Macaca fascicularis: one gene and its partners. The protein of the gene in region 1 interacts with the protein of each later gene in a biochemical or structural test. Links are inferred from orthologs where the notes say so. Each region holds a gene or a part of one and is shown on either strand. Other genes may lie near its edges.

Region 1 (4,165 bases):
ACAAGACCCTGCATCCCACACCCCAGCTCCACCACGGAGCAGCAAACGCACACGTCCAGGGCCAACCACGGGGCCTGGAGAATGGCTGCTCCGCTCCTTCCTTAAGCCAGGCCTCAGGTGTGACAGGGAGATAGAACCTGGGGGGCACGGAAAGGGCAGCAGAGGCCTGGCTGGGGCCTCTCTCCCCCACAGCACAGGCAGAAGCAGCAACGAGACACAAGACCACCGAGGAGGCTGGGCCTGTGGGCGGGGGAGGGTTGAGGAGGGGGGTCGGAGGCACTCGGTTGAGCCAGGCCAGGGAGGCGGACCAGGGTGGGAGGGGCACGGAGGGCCTGTCAGCACTTTGGTATGGGGAGGGGAGGGGCTGGGGGGACACATCCGCCTGTCCGTCGTCCGTCCGTCCGTCTGCCCTGCCTGCTTCTGGCTGGGCTCAGTCCTTCCAGTCCTTCTTGATGGTGAGATTCCACTCCCAGGACAGGTGGTCGGTCTTGTCGTCGTCTGTGAAGCGGGACTTGATGCTGTAGCTGCCCCGGGCCAGCATACCCTTGGGTGCCTCCTCCACGGGGGTCAGGAACTCGTACTCCTCGGCCCGGGGCCCATAGCTGCCTACCATGTAGTCAGTCTTGTCAACTGCGGCACAAGGAAGAGGGCGGTCAGCGGCCCTGCGTCCCCGCTGGGCACCACGCACCCAAACGGCCCCCTCCGCCCTGCCCGGGGCCCCACTCACTCTTGACGCCTTTCCTGTACGTGTGCTGGATGTACTTCATGCCGGACACGATCTCTCTGTTAACCTGCAGGACCCGAAGCGAAGATCAGGGAAGGTCGGCCCCAGTCCCGCCTCCCTTCCCTGGCCACAGCAGCCGACAGCTTACCCGGAAAGAGATTTTTATCCGGTACTCTACACCCTCTTTCAGCACAAACGACTGCTTCTTGAAGCTCTCCAGGTCACCTGTTGGGGGGACCTCTCCTTCAGTGACTGCCCAGCAGCCCCGCGCCCCCAGCCCTGCGCGGCCCCTTGGCTGCACTTCCCGAGATCCCCACCAGGGGCCGCCCGAACCCCCGCAGCCGCAGGGCGCTCACCTGTCAGGTCCAGCTCCAGGGGGCCCGGGGCCGAGCTGCACACCAGGGTCAGGCCAGTCACGACGACGTTGGGGACGTTGGGGTCTGGGGAGTGACAGGAGGTGAGGGCCTCACCCCCGCCAGTGGAAGCAGGGGCTGGGGAGCGGCAAGACAGCTGGAGTGCACGGGTGGTCACCGGGCTCCCGCAGCCCAGACTCACCTGCCGAAACGGCCACGCGGCCCAGCAGGGCCTCCTTGTACTTTCGCAGGCTCTCGTCGTCCTTGTCCAGCTCCTGGATCTCCTGGATGCTCTTCTGGGCCGGGGGCTTGTAGTTGACCGAGTGCTCATCTTCCTCGTTCTCTGCTGCAATCTGGGCCAGCTGCTCGGCTGTGGGCTCCTGCTCAGCCATGCTCACGCTTAGCCTGGGTCAGGACACCTGTGGGCGGGACGGTGGCAGGCCTTGGACCTGGATCCCCAACGGAAGCGCACTTTCTGAGCAGAAGCGTGGACTGCAGCCAGAGCTCCAAAAGGGCTCCAAGGGGGCCACCCTCGCTCCTCTCCTCCGCCCAACTCCTCCTCAGGGGCATCCTCTGGGGCAGTGTGAGGTGCCCCACGCCAGGTATAACATCTGAGACAAAATGGGAACTGCAGCCGGTCCTGGGGAGAGAGGGCACACCTCCCCCTCCACGATGGAGGAGGCAGCAGCCCCCGGCATGCGTGGGGCGGGGCTAGTAGGCCCCAGACCCAACTGGCAGGGCCCACACTAAAGCCTCTCTTATGGGCTTGCTGCTCCTGAGCTGCCCAGGCCCTTGCCCTACCGGGTAACGGAGCTGGGTATCCCTCAGTAGGGATGCTCCTCTGGCCGCGCTAGTCACATGTAAACCTGTGTGGTCGGCTCATCCTCATCCTCATCCTTCAAACAGGATGCCCCTGGAGCTCGGATGCTAGAGGCAGCCAGAATACCGCAGGGAGCCAACGGGGCACAGGGGATCCTAAGTATCTCCGGTTTCTCTACAATTGTGAGAGTCTGTGACCTACACTTGGGAGCTACCACAGCCGCTCAGTACCGTTGGGCCCTCTTGTAGATCGGGAGCCGGGAGTGCCCGGGGCAGCACTGACCCGGCAGGGACCCGAGCGCGGGAATGTCAGGCTCAGATTCTTCCCGGCAGCGTGGGAGGTGGATCAGGGAGCAGCCCACCCGGGACGCCCAGGCTGGGGTCCAGGCCGCCCTGCTTCCTCCAGGCGCTGGGGCCTCTGCGCCGCGCAAGGGTGGCCGCAGGCGCCGGGATCCTAGGGCGCGGCCCGCACTTCCGCAGGGCCCGCAATCCGCGCCGGGCGTGGCCCGGGCGCTGGGGGAGGCCGCGCCCCAATCCCCGCGTCGCCCCGGAACGCCATGGACCGCGGCTGCCGGCCCGGCGCCCCCCGCGTCCCCAGGGAGGGGTCCTCCGGTCTGGCCCGGGCCCCACGCGCTTCGGCGGCCATGAAAGAAGCTCAGGGGCGCTCGGGCGGGGCTCGCAGTCCCCTGGCCCCCGCCGCCCCTCCGGCCCGGGTCCCGCACGTGGGTCCGGGGCCGCCACCACCCGGTCCCGCCCCGGCCCCGCCCTGACCCGCGCCGCCCTGGTCCGCTGTCACCGCGCCCCCGCCCGCCGAGACCCCGCCGGGGGCTCAGGGCGGGGCGCGAACAAAGGCGGAAGCCCCTACCCCGGCGCCCCCCGCCTCCGCCGGCGCCGCCGGTCCCCGCCCCGGCCCGCCGCCTCCGCCCCGCCACGGCCACTCACCGGAGGGTTCGGCCGCGCGGCTCAGGCTCCCTCCCGCACTAAATGACGAACGTCGTCGGCCGCTCCGCCCGCCCTGCCTGTCACTTCCGGGGTCACGAGACTTCCGCTCGCTCGGGCGGGGAAGGCCAGGGCGCATGCGCGGCGCGCGGGTGGCCGGGGGCACGGCGTCGCCATCTTGCGGCCGGGCCTCGTGGGCGCGTTCCGCGTGGGTTCTGGAGTCGTCACCTCTGTAAGCCAGGGCACTTCCCCCACGCGAGCCCAGGGCGCCCGCGCCCAGGAGGCGAGGTCCCGTCCCGCCTCTCGCCGCTGTCCAACCCGCGCCCACTGCAGGCCTGCGGCGGCCGCGTGGGCTTTGGAAGCTCGCGCAGGTGCAGTTCGCTGCCCTCCCCGGCCCAGTCGGTCCTACTGCGACTCTCGTTTCGGGGCCTTGTTATCTAGTCCCGGGACTTCGGGGAGGTAACGGGCACGGGGATTAAGTTCTCGTTAAACATAGGCGAGTGCGCCGGCGCGCGGGCCGCTCCAGAGCCTTGGTGTCTCCCGTGGAAGGACAGGGCTTTGGGACAAGGAGGAGCCCCTTGCACGCCCACGCCCCATGGAAAGCTCGTGGTGGGCGAGGGCGCAGCCGCGGCTTTTTTCTCCAGGTTGAGACAGAATTCATGCGCGGCTCGCGCGGCTACTTGGCGCAGGCACAGCTGCAGAGACCCTAGTATCCCTCAGGAATCTCGCGACTCCTCAGGACCAGAAGGCAGAGACCTCCTGGCACCGTGAGCAGATGAGGGGCTTCCTTAGCCTGGGCTTCACCGCAGACGCTCAGGTCCCCACTCCACTTGTTCCGAGATTTCACACATTCGCCCACAAGGACCGTGTTGAAGCATCAGGAACGGCCGCATAACGTGAGTGGCCTGGCCTAGCTGTAGTGCTCGCACTCAGCCCTGTGCTCTCCACTACTGGAGGCCAAGCCCCTAAAGGCCCTGCACCAGACACTGGGTGGGACGCTGCCCCACGTCCAGCCCGCAGCACTTGTTAGGGCTGTGGACTCGTTAGCGTGGACTCCTCTTTTTATTTATTTATTATTTTTTTGAGACGTAGTCTCTGTGTGTCACCCAGGCTTGAGTACAATGGCGCAATCTCGGCTCACTGCAACCTCCACCTCTCAGGTTCAAGCAATTCTCCTGCCTCAGCCTCCCGACTAGTTAGGACTACAGGCGTGAACCAACATGCCCAGCTAATTTTTGTATTTTTAGTAGAGACAGGGTTTCACCACGTTGGCCAAGCTGGTCTCGAACTCCTGACCTCAGGTGATCCACCCGCCTCAGCCTCCCAAAGT
Region 2 (3,636 bases), on another chromosome or scaffold:
TCCCAGCTCCTCAGGAGGCTGAGGCAGGAGAATCGCTTGATCCCGGGAGGCGGAGGTTGCAGTGAGCCAAGATCGCGCCACTGCACTCCAGCCTGGGTGACAGAGTGAGATTCTGTCTCAAAAAAAAAATAAAATAATAGTAATAATACCACCTCTCCCTCAGAATTGTATGTTGTATCTTAGAAAGGCCTTTCCTACTTAAATAATGCAAAAGTATGCTCTAGTATTTTTTCTAGGTTTTTTGTGGCTAAAATTTTTATCTTTAATCCATTTAGAATTTATTTTTGGTATAGAACGAGGCAAGGACCTGATTCTTTTTCCCTTATAGGGGAAAGAAAGTCACAATACCATTTATCCTATAATCTTTTTTTTTTTTTTTTTTTTTTTTGAGATGGAGTCTCGCTCTGTCACCCAGGCTGGAGTGCAGTGGCCGGATCTCAGCTCACTGCAAGCTCCGCCTCCCGGGTTCACGCCATTCTCCTGCCTCAGCCTCCCGAGTAGCTGGGAGTACAGGTGCCTGCCACCTCACCCGGCTAAGTTTTTGTATTTTTAGTAGAGACGGGGTTTCACCATGTTAGCCAGGATGGTCTGGATCTCCTGACCTCGTGATCCGCCCGCCTCGGCCTCCCAAAGTGCTGGGATTACAGGCTTGAGCCACCACGCCCGGCCTATCCTATAATCTTTTTCTTATGGAAGCATAATTACCATGTCTGTCACTATCACCTTTTCTTTCTTTCTTCTTCCTTTTTTTTTTTTTTTTTTTTTGAGACAAAGTTTTGCTCTTGTTGCCCAGGTTGGAGAGCGATGATGTGATCTTGGCCCACTGCAACCTCTGCCTCCCGGGTTCAAGTGATTCTCTTGCCTCAGCCTCCCAAGTAGCTGGGATTACAAGCACCCGCCACCACGCCCCGGCTAATTTTTGCAGTTTTAGTAGAGACAGGGTTTTCTTCATGTTGGCCAGGCTGGTCTCAAACTCCTGACCTCAGGTGATCCACCCACCTCGGCCTTCCAAAGTGTTAGGATTACAGGCGTGAGCCACCGTGCCCAGCCTCTGCTTTTTATTGTATTTTTCCTTTTCTTTTTTGCCTTCCTGTCCAGAGGAAACACTATTCTTTTCTAAAGCTTGGTTTCTGCTGACCAGTAGCAGTTTTTAACTTGGGTCCGATTTCCTTCTGTCAGCCTGTAGGCTTTGCTGGGTTACCTCTCCTGACTAATTTGTGTAGCAACTTCATGTGAATTTGTTTTTTTTTTTTTTTTTTTTTTTTTTGGGAGACGGAGTCTCGCTGTGTCGCCCAGGCTGGAGTGCAATGGTGTGATCTTGGCTCACTGCAAGCTCCGCCTCCCGGGTTCACGCCATTCTCCTGCCTCAGCCTCCCGAGTAGCTGGGACTACAGGTGTCCGCCGCCACGCCCGGCTAATTTTTTGTATTTTTAGTAGAGACGGGGTTTCACCGTGTTAGCCAGGATGGTCTGGATCTCCTGACCTCGTGATCCGCCCGCCTCGGCCTCCCAAAGTGCTGGGATTACAGGCAAGAGCCACCGTGCCCGGCCAACTTCACATGAATTTAAATATTTGTGTCATCAGGTACACTCACTTTGAAAATGTTATTGGGAGGCTTGTTAAGGCAAGTGTCTTTTGTGTTACTGTTCTACACTCAGGCCTTCTGGAAACCCTGCAGAGGGTAGCTCTAGTGGCCAGCTCTCTTGTTGAAAATGAGTGACATAAGTACATGAAAAACCCAACAAGGAGGATTTGAAAGCGGGGCTAATTTTACACTTACTTCTTCCTGGGATAAAAGTCTTAAACTTTGTTTAAAGTGAAGTGTATGTATTTCTGACAGTGATTTGTTTCACTTAAATAGCTTGTTGTTTGTTTCTTTCATTTTTCTTTCTCAAGTTTTGGGTTGGGTTTGTTTCCCGTGAGTTTTGCCCCTGCCTCCTTCCTCCTCGTGCCTGCAGAGACATTGCTGGTGTGGCATCCTCCAGGCCCGTCCCCACCCTTTTTCTTGGCACACCTTCTCTAGGATGGCCAGGACAGTGACTTAGGTTCCACATCTGTGACTAACCATTTTCATTCCGTTCTACAGCTTTGACAATTACTCTGCCAATGTTATGGTAGATGGAAAACCGGTGAATCTGGGCTTATGGGATACAGCTGGACAAGAAGATTATGACAGATTACGCCCCCTATCCTATCCGCAAACAGTAAGGATTGCAGCTGATTTTTAATGTGTCTTTTTTAGAGTATATAATTCTCGAGCGTTTAATTAGTGCATGTTACCTGTGGACTTGCTTATATTGCCATCATTTGGATATTGAGTAAATAGCAGACGGGGCGGAATTAGTTCCGTATAAACATCCCCCTAGATGGCAGGGGTTTTGTGTTTTGAGCGTTAACAGCTGTTCCATTGTTGGGCATTTTACAGTCTTCCATTTAGCTTCAGAATAACCGTATGAAAGGTGCTTTTTGTTTTGTTTTGTTTTTGCAAATCAGTTTTTAACACCAATTGGTTTGAAGACAAGTTTGCTGTGTGACAGTTTTGTACCGCAGAATCAAATTAAGCAGTTAAGATTCGGGTTTCTTTAAACCAAGTTAGTAACTAATCTTACAGGTTTAATGCATTTTTTCCCACAAAATACATAATTTGTATGGCTATAGAACCTAAATCTATTCAATGTAGATTGAGGTTTTGGTTTTGTAAAATGTATCCACTGTGTCCAATCAGAAAAAAAAGTTTAGTTTTTTTTTCTGTATCAGACAAAAGTGATTTATTTATCAAAGCTAATTAGAGCAGTAGCTGGTGAAAATGGGTACTTAGAAGACATTGTTGTGGTTAAAAGTTACTTTTCTTTAAGCAGTTGTTTTACTTGTGTATCTTTTGCTGATCTTGTTACATGTTTGTTCTTCATTTTTAAAAGTGTCTTTGGAAGCAAAACTTAAATATGCTTGAGATTCCTTGGGTGGATATCCTGTGTGCATGTCCTATCCTAGCTCTGTGACCTCAGGCAGGCCTCTTCCTCTCTCCAGTCTTTGCCTGTGTCCTCGTAGGGTGAGATGAGTACATGTCACGCACCCCTAGCAGTCCTGGGCACACAGCACACACTGCGGGCCAGCCGCTGTCAGAATTCTCCTGCTCCTGAGTGTGCGGGTGGGTCAGCCTAGAGAGCGCTGCTCTCCACGTTGTGCCCAAACGAGTGGCAGTTGTGTGGGTGCTCGGCAAACCTGGATTGGCCGGAGGGATTGGGGTTTGGGGTTGAATTGAGGTGAGGAAGACTTCCTAGAGAAAGGCTGGCTTTGAGCCCCGATTGATGATGAGGCAGCCTGTGGTTTTAGGGGGTATTATGGATGAAATAACTTAGTAGTTAAATCTACTGTATTAACAATCAGTCTATAATCCCCAGACAATTCAAATTCTTCTCAGTACCTTAGGAAACTATACCCAGTGGATGTTTACTGATTCAGATTGTAAATGGATTTAAAAACATACTGACTGGTAGAGTAGGAGTCTCCAGCCCACTGGACACATGTGGAAGGGTGTGGTGTCATTCTGAGAAATGAGAGCCACCCTGCTGTGACTCAGGGGGTACCGGGCAGGGCGCGGCCTTTCTCTAAGGGACGCCTCACAGTAAGTCAAGG
Region 3 (3,636 bases), on another chromosome or scaffold:
GACGGGCGGATCACAAGGTCAAGAGATCGAGACCATCCTGGCTAACACGGTGAAACCCCGTCTCTACTAAAAGTACAAAAAAAACTAGCCGGACGAGGTGGCGGGCGCCTGTAGTCCCAGCTACTCAGGAGGCTGAGGCTGGAGAATGGCGTAAACCCAGGAGGCAGAGCTTGTAGTGAGCCGAGTTCGCGCCACTGCACCCCAGCCTGGGTGACAGAGCAAAGACTCCGTCTCAAAAAAATAAAAAATAAAAAAATAAAAAATAAATAAAAATAATTCAACTTCATATCCAATCACTGGTTGCCACGCCCTTTTGTGTCTACCACAAAATGTCTCTTATCTCTTCCCATTCCTCTTTATTCTCATTTCCACATCCTCAGTTTGGGTCTTTATCTCTTAAGTATCCACTATCCCAATCCTTTCTTCACACTGATCACTACATGGTTTTTAGAAAATCATATCTGATCATGTTACAATCCTGTTTTGAAATCTTCTAAGCCCCAAGTCAATCGATACTCCCACTGCCTTGCTGTAGCAGAGCATTTATTTAAAGCCCTTCACAATTCCCTATTATCTAACTTGAGGGCCACATCTTCCAACATTTCTGAACAACACGAAAGCTTCGGCTGCTTATTGGTTATCCTCAAATCTATTTACATACATTCATACTTCCTATAGTCATTCAGTTCCCTCTGTCTGGAATGACCACCTCTTCAGTCTCTAACTATTCCCAATCTTACGTCCCAATCTTTCGTACCCCCAAAATTTAATTCATTATTCAAGACCCAGCTTAAATGTATATGGGTCTCCCAACAACTCTCTGGACCCCACAGAAATTAATCACCTCTTCTGTGTTCTCAAAGTACTTGGTTTATATCCGTAGATAAATATTTACAATACACATACACAAGTATTTTTCCCACTCTAAATTATGACAGTAACTTATATTCATCTCTATAAAGTCAGCATAATCCTGGGTACAAAAGCTATTCAATAAAAGCTAGTAAATGAACAAATGATTACTTTGTGTTGCCATTCAGTAGCTTCCTCTTCCTTTTTCTTCTTGGCTTCTTCTAGAAGTGCAATCTTGGCAGTGAATTCAGCAAGTTCTGCTGCCTAAAGTAAACAATATAATTCCAAGATTAACATATTTTGAATAATCTTATAAGTCAACAAAGCTTTAATGTACATGCTTAGGCTGTTTATGTTTTTCTTAGATAGTCTTCCATTTAAAAAAATACAGTATTTCTTAAGATCTTAAATAGCTTATTTACAATAAGTCCTTGAAGTAATGAGCTAAGGAGGAGACAAAATTAAAAGATTACTATTATTCTACAGACAAGCAGTTAATCCTGCTTTCAGTAGCAGGAACTTAAAATGTGTAACTTAAAAGGTTTTTAAAGAAAACTTTCATCAATAAACTATTTGTTAAAGTCTACAAAAGAGAAAATATATTTATATAATGCTATATACTTTAAATGGCACTTTGTCAAATCATCTCATGTAATTCCCCAATAATCCTAACAGGTAGTATCATTCCTTTTTTCTTTTTTTTTTTTTTTTTTTCAGACGGAGTGTCGCTCTGTCGCCCAGGCTGGAGCTCAGTGGCACGATCTCAGCTCACCGCAAACTCCGCCTGCCGGGTTCAGGCAATACTCCTGCCTCAGCCTCCCAAAGTAGCTAGGATTACAGGTGTGCACCACTATGCCTGGCTAATTTTGTATTTTTAGTAGAGACAGGGTTTTGCCATGTTGGTCAGGGTGGTCTTGAACTCCTGACCTCAGGTGATCTGCTTGCCTCGGCCTCCCAAAATGCTGAGATTACAGTCGTGAGCCACTGTGCCCAGCCATCATTCCTCTTTTCAAAGGGAAGGAACTGAGGCTCAGAAAGAGCCAAAGACACATACATAGCAAGTAGCATGTGTGAACTAATATTTAAATCCAGGATCTTTTAAGTAACATGCTTATACCTCGTTATTTGCAAGTCCACTAAATAAACAAAAAACTCCAACCAATTATGGCCTATAGTTATCTCATAGGAACTATAACATATTAATGTATCTAAAGCAAAAGATGCCAACTGACTTACTGTGGAACCTGTCCAATGTCAAAGTGAATCAGAACCTTTTGCTGACAAGAGACTCCATTTACAAATAATCTATAGAAAAATATAGGCCGGGCGCGGTGGCTCAAGCCTGTAATCCCAGCACTTTGGGAGGCCCAGATGGGCGGATCACGAGGTCAGGAGATCAAGACCATCCTGGCTAACACGGTGAAACCCCGTCTCTACTAAAAAATACCAAAAAAAAAAAAAAAAAAAAAAAAACCTAGCCGGGCGAGGTGGCGGGCGCCTGTAGTCCCAGCTACTCGGGAGGCTGAGGCAGGAGAATGGCGTGAACCTGGGAGGCGGAGCTTGCAGTGAGCTGAGATCTGGCCACTGCACTCCAGCCTGGGCGACAGAGCGAGACTCCGTCTCAAAAAAAAAAAAAAAAAAAAAAAAAAATCTTATTCTTTTGTATTTTTAGGTTTTTGTTTAGGCAGAAATAAAAGTTTTAGGTTTTTGTCCACACTTTGTTACTAAGTTACATGTTATCTTTGGCTTGCTTTCCAGAAAGCACAAAATGGTTGCTTTTTGTTTTTTCTTTTTAGAGGGTTCACTCTATGCTTTTATTTAAACTTTTTTCTCTAAGAAGACAGTTCCTTACTAGCTGCTCCTGATTCTTCATCTGGTCGGCAGCTTGTTTTGCTATGGCAGACTTCGCCTCTTCAGCAGCTCGACGCTCTTTTTCAAGCCGTTCTGCTTCTTCTTTTGCTCGTTTTCGTTCTTGATCCAGTTCTAGAGCTTTTCGAGTCTGTTCTTCTAGTTCTGTGAAATATGTGTATTTCCCCCAACAGTGATTAATTCCAAACATTCTCATTATCAAAAGAAGCTAAAATAGTAGCAAGAAATCAAATCTGTTCAGTTTCTAAAAATTAGCACACATGTAAATACGTATATACCTCTTTGTTTTCTTGAGACAGGGTCTCGCTCTGTTGCCCAGGCTGGAGTGCAGTGGCACAATCATAGCTCAATGCAGCCTCTAACTCATGGGCTCAAGCAATCCTCCCACCTCAGCCTCCCTAGTAGCTAGGACTACAGGCACTATATTTCATTTCTAACTTGGCAAAAGCCTAATAATTTTTAAAGAGACATGAAAATCTTTTGCAATTCAAGTTATGTAAAAAGGCTACAAGCATTAACTTTATTTTATTTTTAAGAAATAATCTCTCCATCTAAAGTTTTGATCTCAGTAAACAAATTGCCATGTTTCAGAAATCTATAATACATTTTTAACACTTCCATTAGGTTTTTACTTACCTAAACTAATAAGTAAATCCAAGAAATTAAGATTGAAAACAGTATTTACTGACTCAAAAATAGGAATTTTGATGTGAATTATATGAATTATTGAAAAAATGTGAGTTACTGGTATATATCACTTCCTACGGCATGAAGATAAGTAATATTGGGAGATAAATAACATGAATTTAAGTCCTTAAGTGTATAGATCACTAAATCAAATCTCTTTTCTTATTCCAATGAGTTGAACAGGAAAGGAAAATAAATTTTTAAGAGAGTTTAAAAGTTCTAACTTTA

What was found.
Region 2: the proteins of ARHGDIA (region 1) and RAC1 are reported together in a solved structure, tested with the Homo sapiens proteins (2 studies listed by BioGRID and IntAct, with this or other methods). The link is inferred for Macaca fascicularis from reciprocal best matches to the Homo sapiens genes ARHGDIA and RAC1.
Region 3: the proteins of ARHGDIA (region 1) and RDX form a complex in vitro, tested with the Homo sapiens proteins (2 studies listed by BioGRID and IntAct). The link is inferred for Macaca fascicularis from reciprocal best matches to the Homo sapiens genes ARHGDIA and RDX.

The regions. Positions count from the first base shown.
Region 1 is NC_088390.1:88,245,496-88,249,660, forward strand, and holds the start of ARHGDIA (rho GDP-dissociation inhibitor 1), read right to left. Parts: upstream 2,879-4,165; 5' UTR 2,762-2,878; intron 2,373-2,761; exon of another isoform or gene 2,099-2,372; intron 1,497-2,098; 5' UTR 1,470-1,496; coding exon 1,280-1,469; intron 1,165-1,279; coding exon 1,081-1,164; intron 950-1,080; coding exon 873-949; intron 792-872; coding exon 728-791; intron 631-727; coding exon 431-630; 3' UTR 1-430. UniProt on the Homo sapiens protein: Controls Rho proteins homeostasis. Regulates the GDP/GTP exchange reaction of the Rho proteins by inhibiting the dissociation of GDP from them, and the subsequent binding of GTP to them.
Region 2 is NC_088377.1:45,974,582-45,978,217, reverse strand, and holds part of RAC1 (ras-related C3 botulinum toxin substrate 1), read left to right. Parts: intron 1-2,086; coding exon 2,087-2,204; intron 2,205-3,636. UniProt on the Homo sapiens protein: Plasma membrane-associated small GTPase which cycles between active GTP-bound and inactive GDP-bound states.
Region 3 is NC_088388.1:109,175,705-109,179,340, forward strand, and holds part of RDX (radixin), read right to left. Parts: intron 2,866-3,636; coding exon 2,705-2,865; intron 1,117-2,704; coding exon 1,024-1,116; intron 1-1,023. UniProt on the Homo sapiens protein: Probably plays a crucial role in the binding of the barbed end of actin filaments to the plasma membrane.